2 linked regions of the Anolis sagrei genome follow. Each later gene encodes a partner of the first gene's protein in a complex. Links are inferred from orthologs where the notes say so. Each region holds a gene or a part of one and is shown on either strand. Other genes may lie near its edges.

Region 1 (11,434 bases):
ATGGTTTATGGGGGGAAGATATAAAGACATATATAAAGATATATAGACTTTCACTTGCTGGATGGTGCGTTCATCAATAGCAGAATGGGGTTGCCCTGGAATTGAAGCTGTTTCCACTGAAGTCCGACCACATTTGAATTGACATTGCCAGTTCTTGACTACATTATTTTGATGTAATATGTTGTTCGGGCTGCTCTGAGTCCCCATCGGGGAATTGGTAGCAGGGTATAAATAAAGATTATTATTATATGTTCGGACAGGTAAACTGGGCCGGAACAGAGTAGGGTATTATAGGTTAAAACCAGCACTTTGAATTGTGCTCGGAAGCTAATTGACAGCCAGTGGAGCTGGTGTAACAAGGGAGTTGTTCACATGTTAAAATGTTGACGTGATAGAAAAAGCTGGGGTCATTTTTGGATTAAGAAGCCAAAAGTTAATCAAAAACAAGTGTCAGATGTAGAATCATAGAATCATAGACAGGAGTATATACGGTTAATGGTTTATCCAAAATTAGGGCATACAAATATTGGATAAAACTAAATGCCATGGCAAATGATAGGCTACCAAAATTGTGTCGGTTAGAGCAGTCCAAAAACCAACACCAGTCCTCTTGGCTAGTGCAACTGACAAAATACATCAGGACTTGTGGACTTCCAATTCTATACCCAAATCTTCTAGAGGAATTAGATCCAAAAATGGTGGCACAACGAATACAGGATATAGAGGCTCAGAAAGACATTGCCACCCTTAGTAAAGCCGGCTCACTGAAATGGTTAAGTCTCTTCAAACATACTTTTCAAACAGCCGAATACCTAAAGACAGAAATGCCTAAACATCTAAGGAGGGTATTCACTAGAACCCGATTCGAACAGACAGATACAATGGTTAAACATGGAAGGTTTAACCAAGTTCCATATAATGAATGTTTCTGTATCTGTGGAGCAACAGAGGTAGAGGATATTACACATGTACTGTTTAATTGTATTTTGTACAACAAAGAGAGAAATCAATACCTCGGACCATTCATCATACAGAAGACTCACTGGGATCCCCATATCAAAACTACATTCTTAATGGCTGGCCAAAATGCTAAGATAACACACCAAACAGCCCTTTTCCTTTATAAAGCAACGCAGCTGAGAACTGCGTATCTGGAGGCGACTGGGGTAAACTGTAGGGGTGACGCAGATATCTGAAGTGGCTTCGGATTGTGTAATAGCTGGCCTATTTTAACCTTTGTTTTAACCTTCATTTTTAATTTTTGTGGTTTGAAATTTTACCTTGGCATTTTAATGATAATATTTTTAATTATCTTTTAACCTAATCAAGTTTGAATGTATGTTAGTTCACTATTATGGGAGTCTTGGGATAGTGATTATTGTCTATTTGTGCATGTTTCTGTTTTTGTTTTTAATGTTGATACAGTCAACGGACTAATCAATAAACTTTGCTTGCATGCTTGCTTGCATAGAATCATAGAGTTGGAAGAGACCTCATGGGCCATCCAGTCCAACCCCCTGCCAAGAAGCAAGAAAATTGCATTCAAAGCACCCCTGACAGATGGCCATCCAACCTCTGTTTAAAAGCCTCCAAAGAAGGAGCCTCCATCACACTCCAGGGCAGAGAGTTCCACTGCTGAACGGCTCTCACAGTAAGGAAGTTATTCCTAATGTTCAATGAAAACTGCCTTCTCCAGTGTATTGGGTTCAGCTACAACAGTCTTCCACCTGTTTGGGACTCCAACTCCCAGAAGCTCTAGCCAGATGTTCCAATGGCCAGGAATTCTGGGAAATGAAGTCCAAAACATACGCAAGTTGTGCAGGCCTGATCTACACTGTAACAGCTTGACCCCACTTGAACTGCCAGGGCTCAATGGGATGGAATCATGGGATTTGTAGTTTGGAAACACCCCAGTGTTCTGGCAAGAGAAGGCAGAGATTAGAAGGCCAAAGAGCTTCTCAGGATCACATGGCACGGAGCCCTGGCAGGTCAAGTGGGGTCAAACAGGGTGACTTCTACCCAAGCTGGTCCAAGGCTCACCTTGCTGAGGAGTGGCGGCCTCTCTCTTGCCACTCGAGCTGGAAACCAAGGGGAGGCCAGAGGCTGCTCGCAAGAGGGCGCTTGGCTCCCTTTCCCCTGGGTCCGCTCCCTTGCGGCGCCTCCTTCTCCTGGAGGCCAGGCCATAGAGGGCCCAACACACGCCGGCGCCCACCGCCAGCCCCACCAGGCCCGCCTTCAGGGCTGAGTCCCGCATGGCCGCCGGAAAAGAAGGAAGGAAGGCAGCCCAGCATCGCCGTCAGGGGGCGCCCCGCGCAGGAAGAAGCGCGCGCTGCTCAGCCCTGGAAGGACAACAGCAGATTCGCCTTTCTACAGTTTCCAAGCTTTTTAAAAATTATAATTTCTTATTATTTCACCCCACCCCCTTTTGAATCGTGGAAGGGTGCCACAGCCGCAGTTCACAAATCGGAGGGACAAAACAATATAGCGGGAAAAACAAATAAACGAAAAACAAATAAACGTAAACCTGGGAAAATCTCCCAGAGCAGTGGATTCGCAAGAGCAGATTCGCCACAAACCAAACCAAGGCATATTAGGTTGATGGGTTTTCTGTTTTTAAAGGGCAAGGCACACAAATAGGGCCCTTCCACACAGCCATTTTAAGGTTAAGGTTTCCCCCTGACATTAAGTCCAGTTGTGTCCAACTCTGAGGGTTGGTGCTCATCTCCATATATAAGCCGAAGAACCAGCGTTGTCCGTAATAATAATAATAAACTTTATTTATACCCCGCCACCATCTCCCCAGTGGGGACTCGGAGCGGCTTACATGGGGCCAAGCCCGGACAACATATTACAGCAAAATAGAAGCAAAGCAGAAACAACAATCAACATCATCAAAATTACATAGAAAAAAAAGTATAACATAGTCATAAAATAACATTCCAATAAACACAATCACAATCCGTAGATACCTCCAAGGTCATGTGGTCAGCATAACTGCATAGAGCACCATTGCCTTCCCACCGGAGCGGTACCTATTGATCTACTCACATTTGATAGCTGGGACCCAATGCCGAGACAGCGCAGTGAGTGAGAGATGCAGGTGCGACAGAGTCGTGGCAAGATAGGTCACCAGAAAAGGGGGGGGGGCACAAACAGCCAAGATAGTGCTTAAGGTTATCCGGATATCATATGCAAACACGTTGAAATACATAACGTCTTCACTTCTCTAAAAGTATGATAGCTGGGACCCAATGCTGGTTGTACGACTGACCCGCGTTGCACAACCAGCATTGAGTCCCAGCTATCATACTTTTGCCTGCATGTTTTCCAACTGCTAGGTTGGCAGAAGCTGGGGCTGACAGTGGGAGCTCCCACCACTCCCCGGATTCAAACCTGTGACCTTTCGGTCAACAAATTCAGCAGCTCAGCGGTTTAACCTACTGCACCACTGGGGACTCCACACAGCCATATAACCCAAAATATTAAGGCAGATCATCCACAACATTGGAACTGGATTATCTGAGTCCACACTGCCATATAATCCAGTTCAATGTGGATTTTATACAGCTGTGTGGAAGAAGCCATAGACACCCATCACCAGATCTTGGAATGAGACAATTATTATTATTATTATTATTATTAACTTTATTTGTACCCCGCGAGCATCTCCCGAAGGACTCGATGCGGCTTACACAGGCCGAAGCCATAAACACAATACAATAGAAAACATAACAAACAATAGACAAGCAAATTAAAAAGCAAAACAAAACAAATCAAAATTAGCAATACAACGGTAACTATACATCAGGACATATTAAAAACTGGTTCGGCCGGTGAGAGGTACAAGGTTAAAAGTGCTGAAATGGTAGGAGGGGCGTCGGGATTAAAGTACGATGTGCAGCAATATTAACTGTGCTAAAGTGCTATTAGGACTTATAAAATCCAGATTATCTTCTTTGAACTGGATTATGTGGTAGTGTAGACTCATACAATCCAGTTCAAAGTGGACAATGTGGATTAAATGGCAGTGTAGAAAGGGCCAATGAAACCAAGGAAAAGGAATTAAAGGCTAGGAGTGGTCAACCCCCCTGTTTAAGGAGCTCCATTGGCTGCCGTTTATTTTCTGAGCCCAATTCAAGGTGCAGGTTATCACCTACAAAGCCCTAAACGGTTTGGGACCCACCTACATTTGTGACTGTATCTCTCTCCATGTACCAACCCGGGCCCTCCTTTCGCCCCAGCCAATTTCACAGGCTCGTCTTGTGGGCACAAGGGAGAGAGCCTTCTCCTCTCTGGCTCCTCGACTCTGGAACTCACTACCTGGAGAGATCAGGAAAGCCCCTATACTAGAAAAGTTTAAAAAGAACCTTAAAACCTGGCTCTTCCACTGTGGCTTTAGCGCAGGGGTAGGGAACCTTCGGCCCTCCAGGTGTGGTGGACTTCAACTCCCACAATTCCTTGAGGCTCGGCATTCGCCCCAAAGGCTTACACGAGCCTCAAGGAATTGTGGGAGTTGAAGTCCACCACACCTGGAGGGCCGAAGGTTCCCTACCCCTGCTTTAGCGAGTAGGTGCACAACATGACACTATTGCTCTGTCACTGGAGTACACGCCCCCCAAATGCGAAGTTTCGTTTCACAACCCTGTGTATTTTTATGAGCTCCCTGCAAATAACTTGCTCCTATTTTTATCTCATTAGAGTTTAAACATTTTATCCTGTACATGTGGCCCGCCCATTGTTTACTGCGACTGTGTTTTTTGTTTATTGTAATGTTACTTTTTTCATGTAATTTTGATGATGTTGCTTGCTGTTTATGTTTTGGTTTTATTTTGATGTATTATGTTGTTCGGGCTTGGCCCCATGTAAGCCGCTCCGAATCCCCATCGGGGAGATGGTGGCAGGGTATAAATAAAGATTCTTCTTCATCTTCTTTTTCTTCTTCTTCTTCTTCTTCTTATTATTATTATTATTATTAGATCTGCACTGCCCCATATCCCAGGATTTGGTCCCAGATTATCTGCTTTGAACTGGATTATGTGAGTCTCCACTGTTATATAATCTGGGCTAAGCAAGTAATCTGCAATCAGATCCTGGGATATAGGGTAGTGTAGAAGTGGCCTTTTTATCCAGGCACACTCATCTATATAAATAAAAATGTAATGTTCGTTTGTGGGATTAACAACTCAAAAACCACTGGACGAATTGCCACCAAATTTGGACACAAGACATCTACTCACCCAAGGAGTGACCCTCACTAAAAAAAAAAATGGATTTTGTCATTTGGGAGTTGTAGTTGCTGGGATTTATACAATCCAAGTGTATTCTGAACTCCACCAATGATGGAATTGAACCAAACGTGGCACACAGGACTCCCATGACCAACAGAAACACTAGAAGGGTTTAGTGGGCATTGACCTTGAGTTTGGGAGTTGTAGTTCACCTACATCCAGAGAGCACTGTGGACTCAAACAATGATGGATCTGGACCAAACTTGGTACGAATATTCCATATGCCCAAATATGAACACAGATGGGGTTTGGGGGAAATAGACTTTGATATTTGGAAATTGTCGCTACTGGGATTTATAGTTCACTTACAATCAAAGCACATTCTGAATCCCACCAGCGATAGAATTGGGCTAAACTTCCCACACAGAACCCCCATGAGCAACAGAAAATACTTAAGGCCATCCAGTCCAACTCTCTTCACTAGGGCAAGAAAATGTAATCAAAGCCCTCCTGACAAAGAGTCATCCAGCCATAGATATAGATAGATAGATAGATAGATAGATAGACAGATATAGATATGATTCACACACAGAGAGAAATAGTATCATAGATTTGAAAGGGACCCTTAAAGCCAAGGTGGGCAAACCAGACACTCTCCACATCAACACTGACAAAAAACAGCAGAAATACTGTATACCCACAAGCATAAAGGAATTACATATATTAGAAACCAATACTTTCTCATTACTTTATTTTCCAGATCAACAGACTGGGCCACAGCAACGCGTAGCAGGGGACAGCTAGTCAATAATAATAAAGAAACCTAATCCATATAGACCCATTACCAAGAAAAAGAAGAAAAGAAAGAAATATCTACTGGAAATGTTTATATGAAGAGAGATAAACCCTCCCAAGCTTCCCCCCTTCTCAACCCCCTTTTTTATTGTCAATCACTAATAAAAATGTATATATATATAAAAAAGACATTACATATATTAGAAACCAACACTTTCTCGTTACTTTCTCATCACTAGACTGGGCCACAGCAACGCGTGGCAGGGGACAGCTAGTCCCCAACATAAAAAGGTTAGTGTGAATGGCGCTGCCACATTCTTTCCTCCTCCTTTCCTCCTTTTGAATACTTCTGGTGTCTGGCAGTTTGAGTGGCAGGCGAGGGCGAGTGGGCCGGCGCGCGCTGACCACCCGGGGCTTGGCTCGAGGGCACGTGCAGCCCGGTTGCTAGGCGACCGCCAAACGGTCACCTCAGGGGGCCAGGCCGGGAGGAGGACCCCCTCCTCTCCTCTCCGTGGGGCCATGGCTACGTTTCAAGGCGTGGGCCCCGAACTCAGGGCCTACTTCAAGAAACACTCCATCCCTGACATCTATGAGGTAAAAGGGCCGCCTGGGGAAATTGGAGAGGGATGAAACCAGGTCTAACACGTTGTCAGGGAAGGCCTCCCTTTTTTTGCTGTGCTGGCCTAGTAGGCATGCATTCTTATGATCCACCTCCATCCCGCTAGGCCAGAGAGTCGCAAGGAGAGTTTCCTTACCAGTCACACCTTCAGTACTGTATTTGTGTGGCATTGTTTTGGAACTGAACTAATATCTTGAAGAGCTTTTAAAATTGAATTTAGAATAATAGAATCCTAGAGTTGGAAGAGACCTCATGGGCCCAGAGGCGGCCCTAGGTAATTTTTAATAGTAAGCAAACAGTATCCCCCGACAACCAATCACTGATATATATTTTCTGTTTGTTGTGGGAGTTCTGTGTGCCATATTTGGTTCTATTCCATCATTGGTGGAGTTCAGAATGCTCTTTGATTGTAGGTGAACTATATATCCCAGTAACTACAACTCGCATATGTCAAGGTCTATCAACTATACTACTGCAACGCACTCTACGTGGGGTTGCCCTTGAAGACTGTTTGGAAACTTCAACTGGTCCAGCGAGCGGCAGCCAGATTACTCACCGGAGCGTCATACAGGGAGCACACCACCCCCCTGTTGTGTCAGCTCCACTGGCTGCCGGTTCAATTCCGAGCACAATTCAAGGTGCTGGTTTTGACCTACAAAACCCTATACTAGTGTTTCTCAACCTGGGGGTCGGGACCCCTGGGTGGGGGTCACGATGGAGTGTTAGAGGGGTCGCCAAAGACCACCAAGATGCACTGCTGCTCATGGGAGTTCTGTGTGGGAAGTCTGGCCCAATTCTATCGTCGGTGGGGTTCAGAATGCTCTCTGATTGTAGGTAAACTATAAATTCCAGCAATTACAACTCCTAAATGTCAAGGTCTATTTCCCCCAAACTCCCAGCAGTGTTCACATTTGGGCATATTGAGTATTCATGCCAAGTTTAGTCCAGATCTATCATTGTTTGAGTCCACAGTGCTTTCTGGAGATATGTGAACTACAACTCAAGGCCAATGCTCACCTAACGCTTTCATTATTTTTTGCTGGTCATGGGTGTTCTGTGTGCCAAGTTTGGGTCAATTTCATCTCTGGTGGAACTCAGAAAGTTCTTTGATTGTACGTGAACTGTAAATCCCAGCAACTATAACTCCCAAGGTCCAGAGAATGAAAATACATCCTGCCTATCAGATATTTACATGACGATTCATAACAGTAGCAAAATTCCAGTTATGAAGTAGCAACGAAAATAATTTTAGGGTTGGGGGTCACCACAACATGAGGAACTATATAAAGGGGTTGCGGCGTTAGGAAGGTTGAGAACCACTGCCCTATTCTGGTCCAGTGTATCTGTCCGAACGCATCTCCCTCTATGTCCCACCCCGGAGTTTGAGATCATCTGGAGAGGCCCTGCTTTCGACCCCACCGCTATCACAAGTGAGGTTGGTGGGGACGGGGAGCAGGGCTTTCTCAGTGGTGGCCCCTCACCTGTGGAACTCACTCCCGGGGGAAATTAGGTCATCAACATCCCTCCTCTCCTTCAGGAGGAAAGTAAAGACGTGGTTGTGGGACCAGGCCTTTGGGCAATCTGACAACTAGATAAGGACAATCAGACGACTAGGACTGACAGGACTGACAAAGTGGAATTGGAAATTAGACTATGAGATGGTGAACGCTGACCGTTAATGAGGAGTAATGGGTTTGTATTGGTTTTATTGGTTTTATTGTTGTAATGCAGGAACTGTTGTTTAACTGTTAATTGCTGCTATATTGTTTTACTACTGTTACGTGATGCCGGCATCGAATTGTGCGTTTGTAAGTTGCCCTGAGTCCCCTCCAGGGTGAGAAGGGCGGGGTAGAAGTAATCGAAATAATAAATACTGCAAATGCTTACTTTGCGTAATGGGTTGAGCCTCCCCTGCATGGGCCATCCAGTCCAACCCCCTGCCAAGAAGCAGGAAAATTGCATTTAGATGGCCATCCAGCCTCTGTTTAAAAGCTTCCAAAGAAGGAGCCTCTACCAGGACCGTAGCCAGAAAAAAAATTTCGGGGAGGGTTGAAACCTTTTTTAGCAAATCATGAAGAGTAGTTCGAGGGAGAGGGCCTTCTCGGTAGTGGCCCCCCGACTCTGGAACTCACTTCCCAAGGACATCAGACATGCCCTAACTCTGACAGTCTTTACTTACTTACTTACTTAGGCGATCCCTCGTTGGCCGAGAAGGATAGTCTTCCAGGATCAGAATTCTTGTGTCTGTAGGTGGCTGTGGAGCCCTATTCTTGATCTGCATCTTCTTCCACAGTGAGGGCAGATGTGTAGCCAAGGGGGGGGGGGGCTTGAGGGGCTTCAGCCCCCCCCCCCCCGGAAATTCTCATGGTGGTTCACGAAAAGGCCTTACTGGTGCATTATTTAAACTGTTATGTTTATTCATATCATGATCTGATCACCATACTCAATATATTCCATATGCTTGGGGGTATTGGGGTAACGATACAGAAGGTTTGCTAGGGTAGACCCTCTTTCACTCAGACTTAGCCCCGCCCCCCGAAACAAACTCAGCCTCCCCCGAATCGAAATCCTGGCTACAGTCCTGAATGAGGGCATTGGTTTCCAGGTGGAAGGCGGTCCCGGTCGGGTTGGCTTGATGCGCCTTCCTCTTGGCACGTTTCTCTCTTTCACCCTCCTTTCATGCCTCTTCAAATTTTGCAGCACTGCTGGTCACAACTGACCACCAACTGGAGCGCTCAAGGGCCATGGCTTCCCAGCTCTCAGTGTCTATGCTAGAGTTTTTAAGGTTGGCTTTGAGCCGATCTTTAAATCTCTTTTCCTGTCCACCAACATTCCGTTTCCCCTTCTTGAGTTCGGAGTAGAGCAACTGCTTTGGGAGATGGTAGTTGGGCATCTGGACAACGTGGCTGGTCCAGTGGAGTTGATGGTGGAGGACCATCGCTTCAATGCTGGTGGTCTTTGCTTCTTCCAGCACGCTGACGTTTGTCCGCCTGTCTTCCCAAGAGATTTGCAGGATTTTCCGAAGGCAGCACTGATGGAATCGTTCCAGGAGTTGCATGTGACATCTGTAGACATTCCACGCATGTGACATCTGTAGACAGTACACATTTTGCAGGCATATAGCAGGGTTAGGAGGACAATAGCTTTATAAACAAGCACCTTGGTATCCCTACGGATGTCCTGGTCCTCAAACACTCTGTGCTTCATTTGGAAACATGCCCAGCTCTTTAAGCCGCTCCTCATAGGGCTTGTTCTCCAGACCCTTGATCATTTTAGTCGCCCTCCTTTGGACACATTCCAGCTTGTCAATATCTCTCTTCAATTATGATGCCCAGAATTGGACACAGCATTCCAGATGTGGTCTAACCAAGGCAAAATAGAGGGGTACAATGACTTCCCTGGATCTAGACACTAGACTCCTATTGATGAAGGCCAAAATCCCATTGGCTTTTTTCGCTGCTGTGTCACATTGTTGGCTCATGTTTAACTTGTTGTCCATGAGGACTCCAAGATCTTTTCCACTAGCACTGCCCTCGACCCACGCGTCCCCCATTCTGTATCTTTGCATTTCATTTTTTCTGCCTAAGTGGAGTATCTTGCATTTGTCACTGTTGAACTTCATTTTGTTAGTTTTGGCCCATCTCTCTTAATTTGTCAAAATTGTTTTGAATTCTGTTCTTGTCGTCATTTGCCCTCTATGATTTAGTCATATATTGCTTATATATAGAGACATCAGCCAAATGGTCATGGTAATGAAATTAAATTTATTTGCTGTCCTAATGCAGTAAGAGAATACAGGTAGTCCCCAAGTTACGAATAAGACAGGTTTGCTCTTAAGATGGATTTGTTTGTAAGTTGGAACAGGTACATTTTAAAGTGTAACTCCAGCCACCTCACTTTCTGTCCCTGTGATAATTGGATTTTGAGAAATTTGGCTTATTGTGGAAACAAGGATTGGTGATAAAACTTCAGTAGAGACCCTTTTCTCCTATGTAAATAACTCTTTCAGGAGTAAGTTTCCTTTCCTAGGGGTAGATTTCCCTCACTTCCTTTTGTCTCATCTCGGTTCTTAACTGTGAGTCATTTGTAAATCAGATGTTTGTAACTTGGGGACTGCCTGTGCGCACTTACATTTTTCAAAAGCAAGTTCTATTCCAATCCAGCAGAGGGAGCAGTAGACAAAATTAAAGGACTTTATCTAATGCTGCATATTTGTGACACCTATTGTATTTCACATCCTTGATATTTAAGCTAAATCCAACTGTTGTGAATCACATTTAAGTGCCTCTGCTTTCAGGGGAGGGTTAGACAAGAACAATGTTATTTTCCAGTTAAATCAATAGATTTTACTTTTTCACAATTGGTCTTTTTGATTCATTTAACAGGGACTATTTGTTTTGTAGGGAGCTGGCATAGTGCTGTGTGGTTTTGGACTTTTAACTCCGGAGACCTAATTCAAATGCCTGCTCACTCAGGGTGCATCCAGACCTGACAGAAATGTGCACCAAAACCACATTTGGCCCGGCATTTGGTTTAAAATGTTTATATGTTACTGTTGATTGCTTATTGTCTATTTTGTTTATGATTTATATTACATTGATTGCTTATTGGTGTTTTATTTTATTGATGTTCTGTTTATTGATGTATTGCGGGCTTGGCCTCATGTAAGCCGCACCGAGTCCCTTAGGGAGATGGAAGCGAGGTACAAATAAAGTGTTATTATTATTATTATTATTATTATTATTATCATTATTATTTATATATATATAAATGCTCTGTGCATAATGAGTAC
Region 2 (11,107 bases), on another chromosome or scaffold:
TTTTTCCTACCAAGGAGTAGATTTCTCTCACTCTCATTCTTAACTGTGAGTCATTTGTAATTTTACTATATTTATATCCTGCTCTCTCTCACCCCAAGGGGGACTCAGAGCGGCTTACATGTCAACATTCAATGCCATATATACAATCAGATTGGATGTTTGTAACTTGGAGACTGCCTGTATAAAATTGTACTGCAGCACCTAGTGTTTCCTAAAGAAAATATTTTCTTTAAATTTGTGAATAATCGGATTTGCAAACGTGGAAGGCCAATTGTAGTACTTATTTACTATATTTGTATACCGCCCTTGTCAGCCCTTAGGCGACTCAGTGTGGCTTACAATGGGTAAACAGTACACCACTGTTCTCTCCAATGTAGATTCTATGTCTATGTAGGTTTCAACTCTCAGAGAAGCTTTTTCCACACAACATGCATTTATAAGGTTTCTCTCCAGTGTAAGTCCTTTGAATGTGAACATAAACTTGAACAATGGGTGAAGCTCTGTCATCACTCCAGGCATGGATAGGGTTTCTCCCCAGTGTGAATCCTTTGATGTTTATGTAGGTTAGAACACTGAGCGAATTGCGATTTGGGAGCTGTAGTTTCTGGGATTTATAGTTCACCTACAATCAAAGAGCATTTTTAACTCTACTGACGATGGAATTGAACCAAACCTAGCACACAGAAATCCCACAGACCTGACCACATACATTTTAAGACAAAGTAAAGCATGCTCTCTAAGCCAGTGCAAAGGCTAACACTAATACGATTAAAAGAATATGCACAGATGCAAGTGTGAAGAGTGCTCACTTTTTTGCTTTGTAGACATAGGCACACTTCTTGCCTAAGTAGAATTCAGTCTCATTGCGAGAATAAACCCCCTCGATCTTCAGCAGAGCTGTGTGCTCCCTCTGGTTTCGGAGGCCTCGCTTGTAGCCAGCAAAAGTGGCTTTGGACCACAACCTAAGGAAGAAAGCACAGACAGAATTAAATCCCAGCTAAACGCACAGATGCCTATAATTTGTAGTGAAAAGGAAAGTAGGTATATAGTATGAAATATTAAGTTCAATATATGTAATTAATGTCCTCTTATATTGTTCTTCACAAGAAGGTATTCAATTTAGCAACATTTCACACAAGTATTACCATACCTTTGCTACACTTTCCAGTTTAAATATCAATACTGTCAAAAAGGAAAAATGAAAACACAGTTTTACTACAGACTTGATAATATTCTCAAGTGCTGCTGAAGCTTCAAATCAAGTTAATAACACATATTCCACATAAAGATATACATTTTAGTTAACAATTTACTTGATGTAAAATGTTACACTTGGTGTGTTACTAAAATGTATATCTTTATGTGGAATATGTGTTATTAACTTGATTTGAAGCTTCAGCAGCACTTGAGAATATTATCAAGTCTGTAGTAAAACTGTGTTTGTTTGTTTTCATTTTTCCTTTTTGACAGAATTAAATTCCAGCCAGACCAGCAAGCTACATTACAACACAAGAGAAGACAGTTTCATATGGTTTTGATACCTTACACCAGGGGTCCTCAAACTAAGGCCCGGGGGCCGGATACGGCCCTCCAAGGTCATTTACCTGCCCCTCACTTAGGGTTAACCTTAGTATGAAACTACTTGAAAGCACACAACAACAACAATCCTATCTCATCAGCCAAAATCAGGCCCACACTTTCCATTGAAATACTAAGAAGTTTATATTTGTTAAAATTGTTCTTAATTTTAATTATTGTATTGTTTTAAAATGTTTTTGCACTATAAATAAGATATGTGCAGTGTGCATAGGAATTCATTTGTATTTTTTTAAATTATAATCTGGCCCGCCAACAGTTTAAGGGACTGTGACCTGGCCCTCTGTTTAAAAAGTTTGTGGACCCCTGCCTTACACCATTCAGATTGTGAGGGAAAACTTCATAATGCAAAATAATAACAACATTCAATATTCCTTTTACAGTTTATAAGACATTCCGCTACTTTAAATGGGTGACACATTGAAAGTCTCTACAATAACACAAAAATGTGTAAAGGTATCTTATTTTTAAAAGATTTCCAAATAAAACACATCCCTACCTGCCAGTCATGGTATTGCTTGAAGTCCTGTCCCCAGCAGGCCTGAAGGAAGGAATCACAAGGAAGGTTAAATTGGCATGTGCAGTGCTCAGAATCAGTTTAAAGAACTAGACTCCTTCTACTGTCATGGCTCAATTTACTTATTTACCACATTTGTATACCGCCTTTCTCAGCCAGACGCGACACAAAGCGGTTCAGTCGAAAGTGATTCAATGCCATAACAAATATCAAAATACAATTAATACAAATATAAAAACAATTCAACATTTAAAATGTAATATAAGAAGCAAATATATCTGTAAAAACAAGATCCCCAGCATCTCCTTACTAAAATCATTGTCCAGTTGCATCGTCAGTCATTCCATATATTCATTTACGTCTAGTTATGCTCTAGTAGAAAAAGCTTGCTTGAAGATCCAGGTCTTAACCATTTTGCGGAATGTTAGAATGGAGGGGCCACCACTGAGATGGCCCTGTCTCTCATCCCCAATATGATATATTGTATGTATATGTATCTTGTAAGCTACTCTGAGTCCCCTTCGGGGTGAGAAGGGCAGCATATAAATGTTGCAAATAAATAAATAAAAAAATAAATGATGAAGGACATGTTTTTGTATCTTCTCTTTTTGCCATTCAGTGGCAATTTGCAACTGAAGTAAGTTGAGGACAAAGGAGGAGAGAAGAACTAGAATGTTTTAGCAACAGCAAACAAAGCGGGATGATAAAGGATTAATTGGGACTATTTAAGGGTGCATTTATAATATAGAATTAATGCAGTTTGAAATCCCTTTAACTGGCTCAATGTTATGGAATCCTGGGAGTTGTAGTTTTGTTAGGAAGCAGTCTTCCTTGGCAGACCTTGTAAAACGACAACTCTGAGGATTCCATAGCATTGAGCCAGGGAAGTGAAAGTGGCATCAAATCACATTAATTCTACAGTGAAGATGCAGCCAGCAGTGAATTTCTTGTTTAGACTTCGGTTCCATTTCTATTATGGCAGAATTTAAAAACAAAATTAAAGATTCTTCTCTTCAGGCAGGCCTACCCAATCAAACCTGAATCACAAGTTTTTAATTTGCATTGCATTGTCACTATATGTTGATTTCTATACCCCATGTATGTTCTTAATTATAGTGTTTTTATCTGTGTATTTTATGTTAGTTTTTCATCGACTTAAATCAAGAAATAGTTTTCTAAGATCTACAGAGACACTTGCTGGAACACCTCAGCAAGCGAGAGTCCAAAAGTGGCAGGCTCAAACCCAGAACCTCAACCAATGGCTGATACCAAATGAGAGAGTCCCTCCTGGGCACACAGAAGACTGGGTGACTTGGAAGGCACTGAACAGACTGCGCTCCACAAGATGCAAAGTCAACCTTAAGAAATGGAGCTACAAAGTGGAATCCACAACATGCGAGTGTGGTGAAGAGCAAACCACTGTCCACCTGCTGCAATGCAACCTGAGCCCTGCCACATGCACAATGGAGGACCTTCTTGTGGCAACACCAGAGGCACTCCAAGTGGTCAGATACTGGTTCAAAGGACATTTAATCAACTACCAAGCTTGCAAACTTTGAGTTTTGTTTGTTTGTTAAAAAATGCAATGCAACTGTTTGGTCTGCCTCTGACACGATAAATAAATAAATATGTTAGTTTGTCTTGATTTTATTCAGGAATGGGCAAACTTCAGTCCTCCAGGTGTTTTCGACTTCACCTCCATTAGGCTTTTAGGAATTGTGGGAGTTGAGGACCAATAATAATAATAATAATAATAATTCCTTATTTCTAGACTGCCCTCTCTCCCCGGAAAGACTCAGGGCGGTTTACAAAATATATGGAGGGAGGGCCGAAGTTTGCCTACGCCCATTCTATGTTGTATCCTGCCTCGAGCCAAGGCAGAGAGTATAAATAAAGTGTACTATTGTGTTGTTGAAGGCTTTCATGCCCAGAATCAATGGATTGCTGTGAGTTTTTTGGACTGTGTGGCCATGTTCCAGTTGATTTCTCTCCTGCTTCTGTGGCTGGCATCTTCAGAGGTTCTGTTGGCAATGAAGCAAGTCTATCTATCTGCAGAATGTCCATGGCGGGAGGAAGAACACTTGTCTGTGAATGTTGCAATTAGTAAGAATTGAGTAGCCTTTCACCTGCAGTATCAATCTGTGAAGTTATCTGCTTAGAGGTGGTTAACAGTATTAAAAAAAAACACCAGAATTAGGATAGTAAATAAGGAACACCACTCAGAAACAGAACTCCAGATAGCAAACAATCAAGAGCCAATTAACACCCCCCAGAGGATGTCTCCAGGCAACAAAGAGCAGGCTCCCTCTATGCCAGTGGTTCCTAGCCTTTGGGCCTCCAGGAATTTTGAACTTTAGCTCCCACAGTTCCTAACAGCTGGTCCAAAACACCTGGAGCCCAAAGGTTGGGAACCACTGCTCTATGCAGATACCTTACCATTGACTTTACAGCTTAGTGGCTACTCAATGCTATTCAAGCTTGCTAATTGCAACATTCACATTTGTGTTAAGCAAACAAGGGTTCTTTCTTCCACCTTGGACATTTATCCCACAGGTTTATATATATATATACTAGCCGTCCCCTGCCGCGCGTTGCTGTGGTCCAGTCTCTGTATTTGTGTTTTGTGTGTGTATATATTTTTATTTTTGTGTATATATGTGGTTTTGCGCATGTGTTCTAATGTTTTGGTTTGGTTTTTTTGCTTTTTATGTCTTTTTTGCTGTGTTTTTCAGTATTTTCATGAGTGATGGTTACTTCTTGGCCTGATACGTGTATTGTGTCCAATTTGGTGTCAATTTACCCAGTGGTTTTTGAGTGATGTTAATCCCACAAATGAACATTACATTTTTATTTATATAGATGGATATATATTGTAAATAAGTAATTATATTTATTATAGTAGCATCACTATTTCAATATTATTATATTGTATTATGATTAGCACTATATTGCATTACATTATAATATTATTATCAATATTACATGTATATACAATATACTAAATTAGCATAACACACTATTAGTATTATATATTTCTATATTGTAGCATAGCACTATACTGCAATCTATATAAATAAAAATGCAATGTTCGTTTGTGGGATTAACAGAACTCAAAAACCACTGGGGGAATTGCAACCAAATTTGGCCACAAGACACCTACTAACCCAAGGAGTGACCATCACTAAAAAAAAATGAGTTTGTCATTTGGGAGTTGTAGTTGCTGGGATGTATAGTTCACCTACAAACAAAGAGCATTCATAACCCCACCAACGATGGAATTGAACCAAACTTGGCACACATTTCTCCCATGACCAACAGAAAATACTGGAAGGGTTTGGTGGGCAGTGTCCTTTGGTTTTGGAGTTGTAGTTCACCTACATCCAGAGATCACTGTGGACTCAAACAATGATGGATCTGGACCAAACTCTACACGAACACTCAATATGCCCAAATGTGAACACTGGTGGAGTTTGGGGGAAATAGAATCTTGACATCTGGGAGTTGTAGTTGCTGGGATTTATAGTTCACCTACAATCACAGAGCATTCTGAACGCCACTGATAGAATTGGGCCAAACCTCCCATACAGAACCCTCATGTGGGCCACTGCAACGCTTGGCAGGTGACGACTAGTGTGTGTGTGTGTGTGTATATATATATATATATATATATATATATATATATATATACACACACACACATATGTGATATATATATATATATATATATATATATATATATATAAGTAAAGCACAATATTATATATTACTAGCTGTTCCCTGCCACGCATTGCTGTGGCCCAGTCTGTTGATCTGGAAAATAAAGTAATGAGAAAGTGTTGGTTTCTAATATATGTAATTTCTTTATGCTTGTGGATAAACAGTATTTCTTGTTGTTTCTTTGTCAGTGTTGATGTGTCTTTTGTCCCACCCTGGTCATTCCACAGATATATAAACCCCTTTTCCTACTTCCAACAGACCACACTATCTCTGAGGATGCTTGCCATAGATGCAGGCGAAACGTCAGGAGAGAATGCCTCTAGGACATGGCCACATAGCCCGAAAAAAACCACAAGAACCTAGTGATTCCAGCCATGAAAGCCTTCGACAATACAGGCCTTCCTTCCTTCCCTTCGTCCCATGGAATCAGCCAGCTAAGGCGTAGAAACGAAACTAGGCCAGGCCGCAGCATCCGGCCTCCATCCACGGCATCCCACCGCCTTCCGCCGCCATCCCCGGCTCCTTCCACTCCTCAGACCTCGCTTCACCCGCCGACCCCACTCGGGAGCCGCTTTCCCCGCGGTTTCCACGGATTCCTCCCCACGAAACGCGCGCCCCCCTTCCTCACCTCAGCAGCACCGGCCCAAGATGGCGGCAGAAAGAGAGAGCGGCGCCGCGGTGCAAGCCGGGATAGGGGGACAAAATCGCCAGGACCCCTTCCTTGTTTAGAGATAGGTGGTTACGCTATTCGCCTGACTGAAATATCACAACATTTTGGGGGGTATTTTAAAAAGTGGAATTTAAAACTTCGATTTGGGTGTTTGATTTCCAATATCGAGCTTTTATTTCATCCTCTGTAATTTAACGATTTTTAAAAAATGTCAGGCTTTTATATAGACAGCCTTTTGCTAATGTGAGGGCCCCACAGGAAGTGAGTGGTAACCATGGCGACGTCAAGCTGTGCAAGTGATACCTCTTGGTGAGTGAGTCCCTTCAGAACGGTTCTATTGAGTTGAGAGGGTTTTTCACACAGGAAAAGCATTCAGGAAACATTTGGGAGAAAGCAGCAGAAATTCCAAACACAAAAAGAGGGAATGCAGTGAATATTAAGATGGAAACTATCCCAAGAGAGGAGGCCTCAAGGCCTTCACTAAAGTTAGGCCTCAGGAAAAGGGAAGAACAAATTATCCATCTATCTATCTATCTATCTTTACTTACTTAGGCAATCCCTCATTGTCCAAGTAGGATTGTCTTCTCTCTTTCACCTTCCATTTGTGCCTCTTCAAATTCTGCAGCACTGCTGGTCACAGCTGACCTCCAGCTGGAGCGCTCAAGGGCCAGGACTTCCCAGTTCTCAGTGTCTATGCCTGTGCAGGTACAGCTGTACCAGGAGCTCCAATTTTGTTTGCTTTGCATTGAATGTTTGTAGTCCTAAGTTTCAGGGACTCTGCAGATAGGTGGCTTCTTTTGGCTGCAATCATAGGGCAAGCCACCAGTCAATTATAGTTAGGTTCCCTGGTCCCGCCCCCTTTGGGTTTTTGGAGGGAATAGGAGCCAGTTTGGGTACAGTCCACACAGAGAAGGTTTTCGCACAGGACATAATACCAAGAGCTCCTGTAGAAAGCTTTGTCCATTTTTCAATCTCTTTTCATGTCTTCCAACATTCAATTTTCCGTTCTTGAGTTCGGAGTAGAGTAACTGCTTTGGAGACGGTGGTCGGGCATAATAATAATAATAATACTTTATTTATTTGTTTATTTTAAAATAAATAAAAATAAACGAAACAGAGTGGCAACAATTATGGAGACAAAGACATTAAAAAAATTATCAATACGTGTTAAAGAAAATTATTATAAGTTAATATGGAAGTGGTATCTGACACCAGTAAGATTAGCATATATAAATAAAAATAATTCAAAAAATTGTTGGAGAGGATGTCAAGAACCAGGAATATATATACATATGTGGTGGCAATGTAAATATGTAAATAATTTTTGGGGGAAAGTATTTAGAGAAATAGAAGATATAATGAACATTAAAATTGAGAAAAGCCCTAGTATAGCTTTATTATATAACAATACACAATGGAAAAAGGAGGATAAAGAAACGATAACAAACTTATTAACTATAGCAAGACTGCTCATAGCAAGGAATTGGAAAAAAGAAATGAATATACAAATAGAGGAGTGGTATAAGGAAGCATGGAAAATAGCAATAAATGATAAATTGACATGTATATTAAAAGTTCAAAAAGGTATATGGAAACAAAGTGATTTTGATGTTGTATGGGGAAAATTTGTAGTAAATGGTTTAAAAAACAAAGAAGGAAAGTTACCGTCACAAGAAGAATTGAAATTTTGGACAGACGATATGTAAAAGTTGTGGCTTGATATGGGGGGAGGGGAGCACAGTGGTGGGAAACAAAGGGGGAAAATGCTTAAGTAGAATAATAAGATTATATGTTAAAGAGTGTGTTGAATAATATGTAACTGCTATAACCAAACGCATAACAAATGTAATAACTATGATAAAAAAAAGAAAACCAAATTCTGCAGTACTGCTGGTCACAGCTGACCTTCAGCTGGAGCGCTCAAGGGCCAGGACTTCCCAGTTCTCAGTGTCTATGCCAGAGTTTTTGAGGTTGGCTTTGAGCCAATCTTTAAATCTCTTTTCCTGTCTTCCAACATTCAATTTTCCGTTCTTGAGTCCGGAGTAGAGCAACTGCTTTGGCAGACAGTGGTCGGGCATAATAATAATAATAATAATAATAATACTTTATTTATACCCCGCTACCATCTCCCCAAGGGACTCGGTGCAGCTTACATGAGGCCAAGCCCAACAGTACATCAATAAACAAAAGCAATAACAAAAACAATCAATACAATACAATTAATATAAATCACATAAACAATAAACAGTAACACACAAGAATTTAAAAACCTATGGCCGGGCCAAATGTAATAGTTTAAAATTTAAAAAAATAACGCTGAGCATGAATAAGGTAGGATATAACTGGTATAGGGTTTTCAAAGAGAGATGAGGGAACGCAGTCAGTCCTAAATCAGTGGTAAAGTGCATTTTGAGGGCATATTGCTGAGAGTTTTCCTTATTCTGGGAAGGCACACTGGAACAACCACATTTTGGGGCCCCTCCTAAAGACTGCCAATGTGGGGGCTTGTCTGATATCTTTAGGTAGAGAGTTCTAGAGTCGGGGGGCCACCATAGAGAAGGCCTTCTCCCTCGTCCCTGCCAATCGTGCCTGCGAAGGAGGTGGGAGCGCGAGTAGGGCTTCTCTAGATGATCGAAGAGATAATGTGGGTTCGTACACAGAAATGCGGTCATGCAGGTAGGCGGGTCTCAAACCGTTTAGGGCTTTGTAGGTAAGAACCTACAACGTGACCGGTCCAGCGGAGTTGATGGCAGAGGAACATCGCTTCAATGCTGGTGGTCTTTGCTTCTTCCAGAACACTGACGTTTGTCCGCTTGTCTTCCCAAGAGATTTGCAGGATTTTCTGAAGGCAGCGCTGATGGAATCGTTCCAGGAGTTGCATGTGACGTCTGTAGACAGTCCACGTTTCGCAGGCATATAGCAGGGTTGGGAGGACAATAGCTTTATAAACAAGCACCTTGGTCTCCCTATGGATGTCCCGGTCCTCAAACACTCTCTGCTTCATTTGGAAAAAAGCTGCACTCGCAGAGCTCAGGCAGTATTGTATTTCAGTGTCAATGCTGACTTTTGTGGAGAGGTGACTGCCAAAGTAGCGGAAATGGTCAACATTTTCTAATGTTACACTATTAAGCTGTATTTCTGGCATTGGAGAGGGGTTGGCTGCTGACTGCTGGAAGAGCACTTTGGTTTTCTTGATGTTCAATGACAGGCTGAGCTTCTCATATGCTTCTGTGAAGGTGTATAGAGTGGCTTGTAGGTCTTCTTCTGAATACGCACAATGTTGTAACCCACCTCGAGCCATGAGGAGAGGCAAATAAGAAAAAATTACTATTATTATACGCTAGAATATTATATATGTACCAAAGAACACAGACCAACTAAAGCCTATAGGTAATAAAGCATAGCTTCATTTCCTATAGTATAGTAAGGTCAGCTGCATAGTAAACACTAGTTTAAACCTAAAATTGGAAGCCCATGATAAACAAAGGAACCATAAACACTTTACAGTCCATTCTATGCTTGTGGACAGAATGGCTGGCTATATACAGCCCTGGTGAGGCTGGGTTGTTGTAGGTTTTTCCGGGCTATATGGCCATGTTCTAGAGGCATTTTCTCCTGTCGTTTCGCCTGCATCTATGACAAGCATCCTCAGAGGTAGTGAGGTCTGTTGGAAGTAGGAAAATGGGTTTATATATCTGTGGACTGACCAGGGTGGGACAGGGTGGCCAACAAAAGTCCTTTGTCCCCCCCTGGTCATTCCACAGATATATAAACCCATTTTCCTACTTCCAACAGACCTCACTACCTCTGAGGATGCTTGCCATAGATGCAGGCAAAACGTCAGGAGAAAATGCCTCTAGACCATGGCCATATAGCCCGGAAAAACCTACAACAACCCAGTTATTCCAGCCATGAAAGCCTTTGACAATACCTGGTGAGGCTATTTGAGAATGAGTTATTAACAATGAACATTTTGCATGTCTTCTGGTTCTGGGAGCCTCAGAGACAGTACATAAATCTATATGGTGACATACATATTTCTAAAATTAAAACTAGAATGTACACATTGGTTGGCTGGCAGCAATGGAGAGAAAGAAAGAAAGCCCAGTCATGGAGAGGAAGGAGTGAGGAGAGCATGAAGTGAGGCCACTTTCATCCCAAATATCTCTCAGTGATCTTTTAACATGACAACCTATATAAAATATATAAAAATGTAATCTTCTTTTGCATATGAATGTAGTAAGAAATTTTTCATAGGTAAGTCAATATTTTTGTATGACTTTTTTTCAAAAAAGATTATCAACATCAGGTGACAGGATATTATTCTTGCATCTTCTAACCCAGGCATGGGCAAACTTCGGCCCTCCAGGTGTTTTGGACTTCAACTCCCACAATTCCTGGAGTTATGAGAGTTGAACTCCAAAACACCCGGAGGGCTGAAGTTTGCCTATGCGTGTTCTAACCAAAGTCATGCCATGAAGTGAGATACTTAAGTTATCCTGAATTCATTGCAGATTACTCAAATCAATTTGTTCTTTTATTTTTGTCTTTCATGGATGCCATGTTATTTGGAAGCTTGTTTAGATCAAGTGAATGGCCTTTTAGGC

Evidence for each region.
Region 2: FBXL13 (region 1) and IQCG share a complex: the UniProt entries of both Homo sapiens proteins name them as parts of the nexin-dynein regulatory complex. The link is inferred for Anolis sagrei from reciprocal best matches to the Homo sapiens genes FBXL13 and DRC9.

Annotation. Positions count from the first base shown.
Region 1 is NC_090025.1:85,407,008-85,418,441, forward strand, and holds the start of FBXL13 (F-box and leucine-rich repeat protein 13), read left to right. Parts: upstream 1-6,482; 5' UTR 6,483-6,542; coding exon 6,543-6,617; intron 6,618-11,434. Other genes in the region: ARMC10 (armadillo repeat-containing protein 10), read right to left, coding at 2,041-2,254. UniProt on the Homo sapiens protein: Substrate-recognition component of the SCF (SKP1-CUL1-F-box protein)-type E3 ubiquitin ligase complex.
Region 2 is NC_090023.1:267,624,192-267,635,298, forward strand, and holds the start of IQCG (dynein regulatory complex protein 9), read left to right. Parts: upstream 1-6,753; 5' UTR 6,754-6,774; coding exon 6,775-6,809; intron 6,810-11,107. Other genes in the region: RPL35A (large ribosomal subunit protein eL33), read right to left, coding at 810-962, 2,096-2,106. UniProt on the Homo sapiens protein: Component of the nexin-dynein regulatory complex (N-DRC), a key regulator of ciliary/flagellar motility which maintains the alignment and integrity of the distal axoneme and regulates microtubule sliding in motile axonemes.